Linked DNA regions of Caenorhabditis elegans. The protein of the gene in region 1 purifies or fractionates together with the protein of each later gene. This does not show direct contact. Each region holds a gene or a part of one and is shown in the gene's direction. Other genes may lie near its edges.

Region 1 (5,607 bases):
ATGCCAGTTTAAAGGTGCATGCGTAAATTCCGGCTGGGTCTCGCCACGATCTCAGCCACAGTGTCTCAGCTACAGGTGGCAAATTCTACAGATTTTATAATTTGATCTAACTTTACGGTTCCTTTTCCAGCTCGAAACGTCAAAAGGAGTTGCAATTTCCCAACGTCGAAAACGCCAATTCTTCATGAATTACTGTAACGATGTGACAAATTGTGGTGGACCATCGGATTGTGGTCAGGAGACTGGGTGTGCTATACATCCAGTGCATTCATGTGGTGGAGGTGGAGGATGCTCCCAGCCAGTTGTAGTTCAGCAGCCAGTGATTCAACAACCCATTGTTCACAGCCCACAGCAGGTGGGTAGTTCCTGCCTGACCTGAGTTTTTTCATATTTAGTTTCAGCAATTCTGTATTTTCGGTCCACCTGGGCCTCCTGGAATTCCGGGCCTTGATGGAAATGACGGGGACGATGGATCCGAAGGTTATCCTGGTGTTCCTGGAGCTAATGTTCCAGATACCGTACTTCCAGAAATTGATGATTTCTGCTTTGATTGCCCACCAGCGAGAAGTGGGCCGCCAGGGCCTCCAGGACCAAAAGTAGGCCTATTTGTTAAAACTTTTCAATCAGTCAGTCTTTACTTACAGGGCCCCCGCGGTACTCCAGGTCCAACTGGCCCAAAAAACTTCTATATTACATCAGGCCCACCAGGCCCCCCAGGTCCTCCAGGCCCACCCGGTAATCCGGGAGGCATTGGTCCTCGCGGCCCACCAGGTGATCCAGGCATAATGACTCAAGACTCAAGAGGTGTCGAAGGACCAAGTGGACCATCTGGACCACCTGGACCAATGGGGTTTCCTGGACCGAAAGGAATCGATGGATTTTCACAAGTGGGCTCAATGGGTCCACCTGGAAATCGAGGAGCTCCTGGTCGTGTTGGCTTGAATGGCCCGAGAGGCCCACCAGGAGATATTGGGCCTCCTGGGTCTGCTGGAGGATGTTCGGCTTGTCCCATTCCACGTGTCAGCCCTGGTTACTGATCAATTGGCCTCAATCTTTGATATTTCCCATGTAATTAACTAAATAAATGGTTGGGATAAATGGTTATCAACAAAAAACGCACAATGACGTAATCAAAAAGGCAAGGCCGAGATTGTCGAAGATTAGATTTTATCTGAAACTGCATTGAATCACCCAGTATAACCAATGATGCAATTTTGACACTAGCATAATTTTTGTTTTTAAAAATATTTTATCCCTGCTCCTAGGGTTCCTTTGATGAAATTGCCAACTTGATTGCGCAAAATTTCAAAATGAAATTTTTTTTAGATATCAATTTTGATTTAAACATTTAAATTCCGTTCAGTTCCCGGCAAACGCCCACTTTTTCTGTGCCTGAAAATTTGATGCCTACCGTAATCATCTTAAAGGCGCATACCTATCAAGCGATGGGTATCGAAACGATTAGCAAAATTTGATTTTTCTAATATTTTTTTTTCGAACTCAAACTTCTTTTTCTTCATTTTCGCCTTTTTTTAAAACGTTTTTCGAGTTTTTTTCTGCAAAATTATAAAATTAAATAATTTTTTAGTGTATTTTCATCAATTTTCTCCTCTTCCGCGGTGTCTTCCCGCTCAAAAACCATTTCGAACAAGGTTTCCGACTGGGTGGTCTACTTTTGTTTGTTTCCCATCAATAAATCCACGGGAATTCACCTATTTTGTCTCCCGCCGATCTAATTGTCGTCCTCCAAACAAAAAAGCGAAGAAAAAATGTTTTCTTCGCTCGCATTTCTTAATCCCCTTCTGCGTATAGTTTCTAATTTGTTTCCGCATTCTAGCTCTTTATTTCAACGTTTTCAGAGATTCTTCAGATAAATTATGCATTATTTAGTTTTGTGCAGCACATTTAAGCCGAGAGAGAAAAAGAGCAAGCACTCTATCGATCCGCCAGCAGCAGTGCGTGAGTGCGTGTGCGTGTGTGTGTGTGGGGGTATGTGAGTGTGCGAGAGAACCCTTTGCGCTCTTCTTCTTCTTCTTCTTCTCTTCGTGTGTATGAGGCCAACAACACAAGCCCCGGGCCGACCGAAACTAGAGAGATCGGAGACCGAGAATGTGCAAGGAACGGCGAAATAGCACCAGCAGGGGAAGGGCGGACGGGTCGAGCAGTGGTGGCCTCCCAGTCGAAACTACGCATACAACACGTACCCCTCGGTGTTCATTTACTCTCTCTCTCTCTTCGCTTTCGATTGTATTTGAACCATTCGAATCGGCCGTGTTGTGACAGTGCTCCGGCTCATCATCAATTCGCTTATCAAATGTTTATTGTTTGCTCGTTCACTATCTCTTTGTTTCTTCATCTCTTTCTCTCTCGACCATCTCATTATTATTCTGCGTTGCCTACCTTCCTCCAGTTTTGTTCAATATTACAGTGCTATTCGTTTCACCAACTACTAGTATTTTACCATCTCACTTTGCTCGAAAAATACGCAAACCCCCCACCCAAAAACATTCAAGCTAACACAGGGCAAACAACGGCGTTGTTGGTATGCTGCTGCAGAATGTTGCAAGGTCAAAAGGCATTGTAGCACGGAATCGGGTCAAAAATTTTCTTGTTTCGTTTCGCCGCCTTCTCCTCCTCCCAACAACCACCTGAACATTCCTAAATTCGCAATTTTCGGTCTTCGAGAAAACAATCGTTGTTTATTGGGGAGTGTTTCGGAGAAGAAGTTTCTAGGTTTAGATTCTCCCAAAAATTTGCTTTTCTGGTCTTTCAGAAATTAGAATATGGATGTAGATTTACATATACCTTCATTAAAATTCGCATATCTATGAAAACGGGTTTCCACGACAAACTGAGTCAAATATTCAGGATTGCTCTTTTTTATTAGAGAAAAATATTTAATTTTTCAAAAGATACCCTCGCAAGTCAGAAATTTTTATCTTAAATAGTAATTTGATTAAATCCCCTATTTTGAGTCTTAATAGTTCGAAAATCATGTGTCTCTGCCTCTAGAGTTCTCTAAAGTCACGCGAAGTTCTTCGAACCAAAAAAGGATTGAAACCTCATGTTCTTTTTCTTCTTCCTCCTCTTTCTCTCTTCTAACCGCGCACACCTCTTTCATTTATCGATTATTCTGTTTTTGTTCTCTATTTTGTCAGCTGCGAGGCTCGGGGCTCAGTGAAGAGAGCTGCTCCGGCGTGTACTTCTTCATCAACCAATAACTTTTCTGTTACACTGACCGCTGCTCATCCGTCTCCCGCACCTCTCAACATCTCTCTCGTATCTAACAATCGTTTAATGTTGGTGTCCGCATCGAAAGGTCAGCTTACACACTCGCACTCATTCGCCCCCACTACTTTTTCTCTTATTACTCTTGTTATTAGGATGAGAATGAGGAGAATAATTTGATGTTGAAGGCAAAAGCTACCGCATACGTAAAAACTGTCAATTTCAGTGTTAAGTTTTAAAATGAAAAATTTGCATTAAATATGCAGAAAAATGCTTTTTCGATCTGAAAATAATATTTATTACTTGAAAATTTCGAGAAAAAACTACAAGTAATATATGAAAGTCACTTCTAATGGCAAATTTTTCAGGTTGAACAAACGTTTTCCTACATTTCTAAACTAATTCCTGATTTAAAAATTAAATTATCACATTAAAAATAACATTTTTGTGAAAATATTGAAACAAGAAAGACTGACGAAGCTCTTAATAATTTTTGAAGGTATAATTTTGATAGAAAGTATGAAAACGAAAAATTAAATAATTATTTAAAACTTTCCACCCCCGTTTTATGATTTCTCGACCAAAAATGTCCCTGTGCTACACCGGATAAAACGTATAATTTTTGTTTTTTTTTCCGCTATTCCCTATGATTATCAATTTCTTTTCTTTTTTCTTCCAATTTGAGCTTCTTGACCCCACACAAATTTCAACTCTTCATAATTTTCATATTTTTTCAGCGAGGGTTTCAATCGTTGTGTCGCGCCACACGAAGTAACAGCCGGTAAGACCAGAGGAAGAACAGAAGCGCGCGGAACAATGGCCGAGAAAAACGTAAGTGTGTGTCTCTATGATCTTTGATCCGACGAGGCTACTTTTCCTGCGAAAGGAGAGCACGCGGAATGGAGGGTCATCGGTCAACGCGACCACCACCACCACCCAAAATACAAATAAAATATTTGAGACAATTTTCGGAAAACAACACTTTCATTATTGCGGTCAGCTGACGTTTTTTGAAGTGGCAATGTTCCTTGAGATTTGAAAATAACGAGACAAGAAAAATGAGCTCTAAAATTCGTTTCTTTCCGAGATCCTAATAAATCCAGAGCAATTGAGCTCTAAATATGAAATTTGAAAATTTCTAAATTTAAAGCAAATCTTGCAATTTTAATTAATTTCTTAATTATCGTTTTATTTCAGGACGTGGCAGAGCAACCAGCTGACAAGCCAGTGAAGGCTACAAAAGTGAAGGGAACAGTGAAATGGTTCAACGTTAAGAACGGATACGGATTCATCAACCGCACTGACACCAACGAAGACATCTTCGTCCATCAGACCGCCATCATCAACAACAACCCGAACAAGTACTTGAGAAGTCTTGGAGACAATGAAGAGGTCATGTTCGACATTGTCGAAGGATCCAAGGGTCTCGAAGCGGCCAGCGTAACAGGACCAGATGGAGGACCAGTTCAAGGATCCAAGTATGCTGCCGATCGTGATGCTGAAAATGCAGCACGTGGACGTGGTGGACGCGGACGTGGACGACGTGGAGGACGTGGTGGAATCCGACACGACTCTGGATCAAGAGACGCCGAGGAAGGTGGTGCTCCACGTGGAGGTGGTCGTGGTGGAAGCCGTCGTGGTGGCGGTGGACGTGGTGGTGGCCGTACCAACAGTGGTGGAGAGGAGACTGCTCGTGACACAGATGTAGGTTTTTTTGTTTTGTGGGTTTTAAAACTAGTATTTTTAGATCCAATTTTTTTTCATTCTAAAATTCTCAAAACTCTAAATTGATCGAAATTTAACATCCATATTTTAGGGCGGTGAACGCGGAGGACGTGGTGGTGGCCGTCGTGGAGGCCGTGGACGCGGTGGACGCGGTCGCGGAGGCCGTGGAGGACAAGGCGGACAGAGCGAGGCCTAAGTAATTTTCCAGTAACCAGTAACACTCGTAGTAATTAAGAGAGCAACTAGGTTTTTATTTCAACCCCCAACTCCCCCAATTCATCTCGCCACACACACACCCACAACTTTGAACTTTCGCTATATTACATTTTCCCTTATTCTTTCTTCTTTCTTTTGTTTTCCTAACTCGTGAATTATTATTGCAGTACAGTTACTTTAAGCTCCCCCTCTAAAACACGTCACAACCTGAATCATTCTCGTAATTAAACCATTCTCCTCCCAACAAAAAAATATATAATTCTACCTGTTTCGCTTTCGGATTTCCAAAACTTTTCTTGTAACACCATCAACACCGAAAATCTCTGTAATTCAACAAGCAAGCACCCACACACACACACCAGACCAACTGATGACTTCCCATCTTGTTTTTTTGTGTTGCTCTGTCTTTCTGAGAGTATATTGCTAACAGAAAAACGA
Region 2 (4,494 bases), on another chromosome or scaffold:
TAATAATTTTTATCCTTAATGCATAAAAATATATTGAAAAGCGACTACATATTTTATCTTGTATTTCAATCACCGTGGTATTAAATTTTAATTTCAACTATCTACCTGTGGGCTTGAACAATAAATAAATAACTATGCAAAGAAACCTATATAGAATATTAGAAAATAGGCCCGACCGGTCTTTGCGTTTTTCATTAAACAATTTGCTTGTACTTCTTGAAATTTTGTTGAAGATTGCTTTGCATTTCCAGTTATATGGCTCTGAACAAGACAATGAACCCACAGGTGATAGGCAACGTTTAATTAAATGAAAATGCAAAATTTTAATTTATCAAGTTGAATTAAAATACCAAATAATTAATAAACTATTTTTTTACTTCATTTTTTTTTAAACTTTTACTCGAGTTGAACTCTCTCAGGGTTCGTCTCGTTTTACTTGTTTATTTCTCTTCTTTTAGTTAAATAAACTCAAATTCAATATGTAAATAAACTGTCGAAAATAAATGTTAGGGCTTAACTTGATAATCACGGGAAAGAGTATGTTAATGGTAAAGTGATCCTTTTAAACCGTAAAATAGTTTCGGGGTCAATTGTGGGAAAAAATATACATGGGAAATAACGAAAACGAACTTTTTAAGATTTCTCAGATTTCCCATGAAACCTTTAGAGTTTTCATCATTATTTTCAGCAATGTTTTTCAGTTTTTTCATTAAATTACTTTCACTGATTAATACTGAAATGTAGTAGGAAACTAAATCACTGCGTTGAAATTAAATATTCATTGGTGGATTCATCAATACCGTGCTTTAAGAGCAACAACTCAGCAGCCACGTAGTCTACAAATTTAACTGTTTAGTCATCTGAACCTCAGATGATTCACAGAAAACGTAATGGTTCTGAACCTGAACTATCTGAAATATTGTATTTCAAATGATGTTATTTCCGTTTTAATTCATCTAATCAGCCTGACACCTCACAATCGTGATACTTTGTAAAAACGTAACACCACATCTAGCAACCGATGCAATGATGATAAAGAGATTGACGAAATGCAACGTAGGAGACAACAGAGGTCAGTGATTCAACGTATAAACTGGACCGCACATATAGAGGCGTACCTGAGAAAAACAGTATAAATAAAGAAAATTTGGCAAGAAATTCATCATTCGACTACAATGAACTCTTTGGCAATTATTTTGGCTTTCGCCATGCTTTTGGCAACCGTCGCTGCTGGACCAGGAAACCGTTACGGATGGCCAAGCTCTTACGAGAGATTCCTTGAGAGAGTGAGTAAATTATTGTTTTAAAATAAAGTTTTAAATAAGTAATTTACAGCAAGGAGTTTGGGACTTCAACAGACACGAAGCCCGTGCTGATTACAGAGGACGCAAGAACTACGAGCGTGACCTCCGTGATCTTTTCGACGACTGGAAGAGACAAACCCAATGGGGAGGAAAGGGATACAGATCCAACAGATTCCAACAACCAACTGGAGGAAATAGCCGTTACGGATTCAAGGGATAAACACAAATTTTGGCGTTTTTTGTTAATAATTCTATCGTTTTTGTCTTAGTTTTACAAAATCTCAAATAAAATTCGTAATTTTTTGTAATTATGGTAACTGCAAAGTGAACATTTATAAGGATTGCAAAATGTTTTTGAATTTCAAAAATGGACTTATTAACAAAACTTAACGTTTCAAACAATGAGTAAATTCACAGCAGTCTTTCACTGAAGTAAAGATCAGATAAAAAACTTTTGTTTTCATGCGAGATATATCAATACAGATGTTATCAAAAAGATAGAAGGTTCACAGAGGGTTTTTACTACGTGGCCTAAAAAAACCAGAACTCGGCCACGATTTATCTTCAATTGTTCACCTCAGATTTTACTAAAACTTGCCGAAAACAATCTTATGAGAGATCGTTCTGGGGAGGCGATTTTCGAAAAAGACCATGTTTTCATTTTTCGAGTACTTCTATTCAAAGCGACAATAATCAAAACCTGAAACAATTATTTCCAGGCTTCTACACAATTTTCTCACGTTCAGCTATTATCTGAGTTTGATTGTTGAACTTTATTCTTAATTTAATAATGAGGAACATACTTCCTTTGCCTTGGAATAATATTATGAAGTAGTTAATATAATAGAATATTATAGTTTATCACCGTTTGCAGTGGCACAAAATACAACCACAAAAACGTTTTTAAAAAATCTTCCAAAAAATCATCTAGTTGGTGAGCACAAATTATTCAATCACAAATATAAATTTTGGATTTTGAAATAGTATTACTAAATTGTTCATTTGAACCTGATCTATTCGCTATCAGTTCACTTCCCGAAACGCAATCTTTGTTTGGTGGCGTTCTGATTTGTCAGAAAACTGTTACAATCGAGATTGTGTTTCCCGGGTAACCGAGAATTCGATGAAAAAAATAGATGAACGAAGCGGCCGATAGTTCAAAAACACAATGTGAAAATTAGACATTAAATTTAAGAGGCGTAGCTTTAAAAGGAGTATAAATAGTGAAGGAATCAATGGTCAGGACATCATCAGTCAAGATGAACTTTACTGCCGTTTTCCTGGCGTTTGCCATGCTTTTAGCAACTGTCACTGCCGGACCTGGAAACCGTTATGGATGGCCAAGTTCTTATGAGAGATTCCTTGAAAAGGTTTGTCATACTTATTTTTGTTGAAAAATCTCTAAAAGCAAAATTATTTTCAGCAAGGTGTGTGGGATTATAACCGACACGAGGTTCGTTCTGATTATGGACGTCGTGGAAACTACGAGCGTAATCTCAACGATTTGTACGATGACTGGAAGAAACAAACTCGTTGGGGACAAAATGACTACAGATCAAACCGATTCCAGCAACCATCTGCAGGGTACGGACGATACGGATTCCCAGGAGGAAAGTAATTGTTAAAAAGTATTTCTTTTATAATTTGACTAGTTTGTTTTTCCTTCAATAAATGTCACATTGCATTTTTACCAGAAACATCGAAATTTTCAATTTTTCAATACATGTTTTCACAAGTTCACAAGGTCTGAAAAAATAATCATGACAGAAAAAGTTTGTCACTTTTGTCAAATTCTGGAAATCAGTTTTGTTATTAGATCCACAAGAGCACATCATGAATATTTGCGGTAAATTTCGAGAAATGGAACTCTCTCAAAAATATGGAAACTTCCTAGATGTTGAACAGACTTGAAGCCTGACGGTGTAAATGAAGACATTTCAATGCTGACTGGACTCCGATTCTGTGTACTCTAAAGCAAAAATTGGCATTTTTGATTGGATGGTTCTTCATTTTTGCAGAACTGAGCTAAAAACTTAACTTGTATGTTTTTGGAAGCTTCACAAAAGTGCCACTATCCTTGATTTTTTTTGCATTTTTTATTGAAAGCCATGCTTTTGGAGATTGTTTCTCCATGATCTCGACGGAATGTTTAAAATGGAAGCCAAAACAAATTACTTCAACGAATTTGAAGCGGCCTGGTAATACTTCAAAAGTTTTGGAGCAGGAAAAGTGCATCTTGTGCTGTTCAGAAATCGAAACTTTGAATTTGAGAAAATGACACTAGTTTGACTTTCAAACTACCGTCTCATAAGCTCTAATCACGAAGTTTCAAAGCTTGACAACAAAAAAATTTTACTGATGAAATTTAGGAGATCAGTTCAGTTCAGTGTCAAATATGAATGCACACATGACAGGAAAAGAAACATCATATAAATCGGAGGACATTGAAATGTTCTGTGACTATTCCAGCAGAAGTGACAGCAGCGAATGCGATCTGAGCATCAGTAAACTAAACAGTAACTCGAGCAAAATAAACGTAATGCAAATCCTTTTTTGGTGCACCAACAGTTCGGGGAGTCACCCGATCCTTTTATCCACAGGTGATCGACAATTTCGAACAAAAGGGCAATCTTGTTGTAATTTTGGTTGGTACTGAAATTTAACAAAGAAATTTCCAAAATCGGCAACAATGTTGATGAGTGGAACGGTAGTTGGCACGTGAAGGATGTTTCTGTGCACTAATATAGCTCTGCTCAAATACACTACATACAATACGACTAGGTCACTGAAATAGTCAATCACGGTAGAAGACTACAGTGATTTTTTTCTACAAAATAAAGTATCGATGATCGTTTGACCTTTGAAGCAATTTGAGTCTCATCTTTTTGAAATGACATCATTTTTAGCTTCCGCTTATTCGGTGATTTCATGGTTTCTTACATTGTTCTCCCTATTGGATGAAGAACGTTTCTTATCAAATACAAGGAAATTGGCGGAACTATGTGTCACAACAAAAAAAAACAGTTTCAAAAATTTTGTGTAAAAATTAAACAACATAAAAGAAGCGGTTTTTGTGATCAGATCATCATCAGTTAAGATGAACTCATCTGCTAGTTTCCTTGCCTTTGCAATGCTGTTAGCTACTGCTTTCGCTGAACCTGGAAACCGTTACGGATAGCCAAGTTCTTAT
Region 3 (5,607 bases), 2.5 Mb from region 1:
GAAATTAGAATTTAGAGATACGTGCATGAATTGGAAGCTAATCTGTAGACTATTATTCATTCTCAATATTATTTTTTACAAAAGATATTCACATCAAAGTAGCACGTTGCTTAAGTATTCAGAAGAATTGACTTCCAGGAGGCACGGGTATTTTATTTTAGAAAGGAGCGACTTTATTATGAGCCACCAATAGAAAAGCATGGCACATCTTTAAGATATAAAGTTCTCGCAATTTCTGGTCTATCAGCTGGGGAACTATATGAGTATGTACACATGTAAGATATCTCGCACCGAACCTATTTACTGTACTCACATAAAATTCCAAACTGACTACACCGTGCAGGTATAATCTAGATGACCTTTTTTGCCAATTTTAATTATTAGACATACGATAATTATTACAAAATTGTTTTCTTTGATCTTTGTTCTTTGAATCTTGAAAAGATCGAAGTACCTCCATATAAAATCGTTTTGCTTTTTCACAAGCATTACGAAGCGATTTCCGATTATCAGCCGAATTGAACGCAGCTTCAAAATATTTTGAATCGACTAATTCTGTAGCAGTTCGACGAGAAACTTCACTGATTGCAAATGAAACAAAATTCCTTCCATTTTCCGATTGGCAACATGTTACAGTCATTCTTTGAGGATCACAAGATGCATCAGCAAGATAATTGTTCACACAATTATACGACATCTGAACAAGAATCCATTTGATTTTTGAATTTTCAGTTTGCAAAATAAACGTTTCAAAATCCGTCTAACTCACAGTGAAAGAAGTAGGATCTTCAATTTTTCGAGTTGCCACAGCTCCATTTTTTGTAAAAATCACTTTTTGTGAATTAGTCTTCATACAAGTTGGCATTTTTAGAAATCGTAAGTACAGAAATAAATTTTTAAAAAACGAACCAGAAGCGGTTGAGCAAAACGTGAAAATTTAAATAGGATAATTTAATATTTTTCAAATTTTTGGTAAATTGCCAAATTTTCCAAAAAAAAAAACGCAATTGAAGTATAAAGCTCGTAGAAAATATGTTTTTGTCAATTTCCTAAAATATGTCCTAAAATATCCTAAAACTAAATAAATCTAAATTTTTCAGCAGCTTCAGTAGAGACTGCAACATCTAATGAGATCTTCGTTGGTGACTACAATGCTCATAATCAGTTCAATCCAAGTTTTTTTAAAACTTAAGCAGGAGCTGAGGCAACAAAAACAGTTGTGTAAAAGTCATGAATATTTAGGTTGTCGGGGGGTTCAATCCATAACTAACTTACCATGTTTTGATATACTTCCTTTCCCCTCAAACTACACGAATGTATTTTATGATAGTTTTTGTAGTGTAATAACTTCTAATAACTTGTCTAATAACTTGTATCTTACTTGTTTCTGCTTTTATTATTAATACATTATAATAAATTCAAAAACAAATTTGTTCAACTTTTAAGTAGGGAAAAATTGAATAATTACCAAATTGAATAGACACACTAGTTGTCAATAGATTAGTAGGTCTGGAACAAATTGGTAAACTGTACATATAGTAAACCATATATAATAAATATATTTACTAACCAGCTCATGAATGTAATTTTAATTCAATGTTTAAAATTAATAAAACTTATCTAAATTGTTTTCATGCCCGTTTTTTAGTATACTCACTTACTACAACTCTTATCTTATCTACTACAATAACCTACAACTTAACTCTTATTTGTCTCCATTTTCCCGCTCCTCTGTCTCGATATGTTCCGTTTTCTCCAAAACTGCAAAATTGTATGTTTGTCAGTGTCTCCACCATTACACCACCGTCTCAACCCTGCAAGACCGGTGCATACACGCTCCGTCGACGGCCACGCGGTTGGTTATTGCCTGCGTAGCGACCCACACACAGTGATGGGATACCGAGTTCAACCGTATTTACGTAAGACCTTCGCAACTGTTTAGGCAACTTTTGAAAGTCTTTTTTTGAAAAGTTTCAGACTGTTTTCTTGTGATTTTCAAGACAAAACTGTGTAAGTATTAGGGAATGCTTGGTTTTTGTCTTAGATATAGTATCTACCTACAATATGCTAAGTTGATATGATAAATTATTGATTGATGATGTTTTTTCTATTTGTCATCATTTTTAGGTTATTATGGTTTAAATCAATTTAGATACATTCAATTTGCTGACTTTTTTGAAATGGCTGTAAAAACTAGTAGATTTATCAAATTGGATCTAGGTCCCCATTTCTTAAGGACTATGTATTTGACGCTTTACTATATTTTTTCTGGTTTTTATTTATTCTTAAATATTGTTATCATTTAAAAAATTAACTTGTGCGTTGTAGGGTACCAATATGTCTGACGATCATCACGACGACGAGCACTTCCACACCGGAGACTCTGGAGCTGCTGCCACATTCCCAAAGCAGTGCTCTGCTCTCCGTAAGAACGAGCATGTCATGATCAAGGGACGCCCATGCAAGGTTCGCTTTGTTTTAAAATGTTGAAAAATTAAATAAACTTAGAAGATGTTTTGTGAAAAAGTGCGATGAATGACTTGGATAAGTTTCGGCTGAAACTTGGTGATGCCAACTTTTTAAAACTGCTGAGCACTTTTTCTCAAACAAAAACCCAATAAATATGAAAGAACTATATATATAGTTATATAAACTATTCACTCATAGTTTTTTACAAAAACTGAAAGCTTACCAAATTGATAATTAATTCCAAAACAAAAAACTCCTGAAATTATTTAGCTCACAAAATACCCAGATAAGATGATATGATTTAATCCTAAAAACTGTTAGTCTAAACATTAGATAGGCCAGATATTTATATTCTCAGAGGCGAGTGAAGAGGCGGATCAGAGACACCCCGCCATGCTTTTACCGGAAGGAAATTCTAAGACAGTTAATTTGAATTTTAGTTCTAATTTAAATATTAACATTTTAAAATTGCAAAAAATATTTGAGGAATAAAAAAAAAGTATACATACAATCGTAGCACCATGCTTCTAGAATGTGGACAAATCAACTTTGCGTAACCATAAAAGTTATCTGAAAGTTGTAGATCGTCGAAATGTCGACCTCCAAGACCGGAAAGCACGGTCACGCTAAGGTCCACATGGTCGCCATCGACATCTTCACCAGCAAGAAGCTTGAAGATATCTGTCCATCCACCCACAACATGGATGTTCCAGTCGTCAAGCGTCGTGAGTACTTGGTAGGTTTTCCAAAATTTCATATTGCTAAACTATCACTAAATTTTTATTCAATTTTCAATATGCTTGTTCTTTCAGTTGATGGCCATCGATGACGGATATTGCTCCCTCATGGACCCAGAGTCCTGCGAGCAAAAGGATGACCTCAAGCTTCCCGATACTGAGCTCGGACAACAGATCCGTGATGCTTATGAGAAGGACGAGGGATCCGTTTTGGTCCAAGTTGTCTCTGCTATCGGAGAAGAGGCTATCCTCGGATGGAAGGTCAGCACCAAGGAATAAATCGTCAAAGGAACCCCCTGCCAACTGCTCATGAATCCTGATTCCCCCGTTCCACCCCGCAAAACTTTCACTGTATGAATGGTGCTGCTTGACATTCCATTCCAGAATTCAAGTATAACCCATCATCAAGTGCTCGTGTTATTTTTCTTGTTTTCATTAACTTTTTTTTTTGCTTTTTTTCAAAACATAACTGAGAATTTAATTTCAAATAAATTATCAGAAAATTTTGGTTTCCATTTTATTTAAAAACTATCAATCCACCTCCATGAATTCACTCGTTTTTTCTTTTGCCTTCTTGTTCCATCATCATCCGTAGGTAATTTGTTTCTGTTCCATCATCTCACACACTCTCTCTTATACACGCACAACAATTGACTAAATTTGATTTATAAATGAAGTTGCACGGAGAGTTGCTTTTCGATTCACTTTCATTTGATTCTGAATCTAGGAATAGTTGAAGAGAAAAGAAGCGATTTCATTTCCGGTACTGGGAGATATCTGACCAGAATCTTAGTCAGATGCTTCTTTTGTTTTTCGATTGACTAGGAAATATGTTACTAAAGAATAATTCCTAGAGTTTTTAAGTTTTTCAGTTCTAAACGCTTTCCTATAAACGCAATCCTGGAAATGTTTAATGACTCGTAAAGCAACCGTTTTTGACAAGAGACACCTGTGATTTATACGTTTTTCAAGCTTCATCAAAATAGTGCCTAGAATTTCCATTCGTTCTTTCAACTTTCAGTCTGAAAAGAAACATATCGATGTATCTTGTTAGGTTATTTTGGCTCACTTTTATAAAAATATCTTCACTTACTGGAACGGTCATATTGTTTTTTTGCGTACTTATACCTTTCTCTGCTTGACTTCAAAACTTAATTTTAACAAAAACAAGAGGCGTGGAAAACTTTAAAAGCTTCTTGGTAACAACTCGACCTTTCTAATGGGATTTTAAAGTCTAGACACGTGTTTACCAATTATCAGCATACTTGTTGTATTGTCTATTTTAGTTTATAAATTAGTTCAAGAATAAGGTTCAATGTTTTTGAAATTGACGCTGTTTTCATTTTTGATTTGACAGCTTTCAAGGGCACGTTACCAGCTTTTCCAAACCGAGCTGTAGAAATCTGCCAATGGTGCACTAAAAAACTTTCTACAAGTATCGTGCTGAATTTCTTAACTTCTGTAACTGAAACCTCGTTTGTATGAACAAAAACTTAGTTAAGACCGTGTAATAGTTCAAATTGAGTTTGCATTGTTGATTCGCATCAGAAATTTAAAACAAGCATATCAGGCATTGAATATAATTTGCAAATTTCAGAATCGCCGCTCAAAATATCTGAAAAAAGAATATGACGGATCAAAGAATAAATAAAGAGAAAATGGGCGTGGCTGAGCCGTCTCATATTCACTCATTTCCCGACGGACCGCCCGTTCCTTTTTCTCTTCAACAAAATTGTCCTCGTTCGTTTCGTCTTCCACCCGTCAAAAATAGAATAACAACCACTATCGCCGTGTCGTCACTTTTCAATTTTTTAGTCGTTAGTAGTTTTAAAAAATGACATGTAAAAGCTTTCTTTGACATGGTTTTAGATATATGTTTCTCTTTTTATGTTTTCAATTTTGAATTTTCGCTTGAATGATTTTCTTCTTTTTGTTTCAAATTGAACACGAATCTGCTTTTTTTGAGGTGGACACCAGACGCGAGAAATCGAATACTACTTGAAAAAATATAAATTTCTTTTGGTTTCTTATTCATCACCTAGTTTTTAAATGAGTTGTTTTTTTGTATTTGAAAACAATAACACATAAATTATTAGCTTTGTTAAAGAAACGTTCAATCCGGTTAATTTTCCCGTGTTTTCTAGAGATTTAGATTTTTGCATACATATGATAAATTCACAATATTTGTTCAATCGAAAATGTCTTAAACCAAATATTGTTTAAAAAATTCAAATTAATTTGGTACTTGAGAAAGCTAATAAATTAAATAAGTGTAGGCTTAAAACATACCTGTTAAAAGTAGGTAAAGATTCTTTGACCTGTAAACCGGATGTTTTATAAAAGTTGAAGAGTTCAACACGTGTATCATTTCCTGTATTCATCCATTTCACTTCCGGTCTAA

The links.
Region 2: the proteins of cey-1 (region 1) and spig-20 purify together in Caenorhabditis elegans (affinity purification with mass spectrometry, with the first as the bait; one large-scale study listed by BioGRID). This does not show direct contact.
Region 3: the proteins of cey-1 (region 1) and iff-2 purify together in Caenorhabditis elegans (affinity purification with mass spectrometry, with the first as the bait; one large-scale study listed by BioGRID). This does not show direct contact.

What each region holds. Positions count from the first base shown.
Region 1 is NC_003280.10:11,039,565-11,045,171, reverse strand, and holds the start of cey-1 (CSD domain-containing protein), read left to right. Parts: upstream 1-3,965; 5' UTR 3,966-4,044; coding exon 4,045-4,059; intron 4,060-4,425; coding exon 4,426-4,932; intron 4,933-5,044; coding exon 5,045-5,149; 3' UTR 5,150-5,607. Other genes in the region: col-83 (Nematode cuticle collagen N-terminal domain-containing protein), read left to right, coding at 131-355, 402-596, 645-1,037.
Region 2 is NC_003284.9:6,083,578-6,088,071, forward strand, and holds spig-20 (Neuropeptide-Like Protein), read left to right. Parts: upstream 1-2,546; 5' UTR 2,547-2,563; coding exon 2,564-2,674; intron 2,675-2,727; coding exon 2,728-2,922; 3' UTR 2,923-2,990; downstream 2,991-4,494. Other genes in the region: C45B2.2 (Neuropeptide-Like Protein), read left to right, coding at 1,176-1,286, 1,336-1,524; C45B2.8 (Transposase), read left to right, coding at 4,493-4,494.
Region 3 is NC_003280.10:8,557,686-8,563,292, reverse strand, and holds iff-2 (Eukaryotic translation initiation factor 5A-2), read left to right. Parts: upstream 1-2,328; 5' UTR 2,329-2,337; coding exon 2,338-2,466; intron 2,467-2,520; exon of another isoform or gene 2,521-2,602; intron 2,603-3,052; coding exon 3,053-3,205; intron 3,206-3,281; coding exon 3,282-3,485; 3' UTR 3,486-3,712; downstream 3,713-5,607. Other genes in the region: F54C9.14 (PID domain-containing protein), read right to left, coding at 455-697, 770-865. UniProt on the Caenorhabditis elegans protein: Translation factor that promotes translation elongation and termination, particularly upon ribosome stalling at specific amino acid sequence contexts.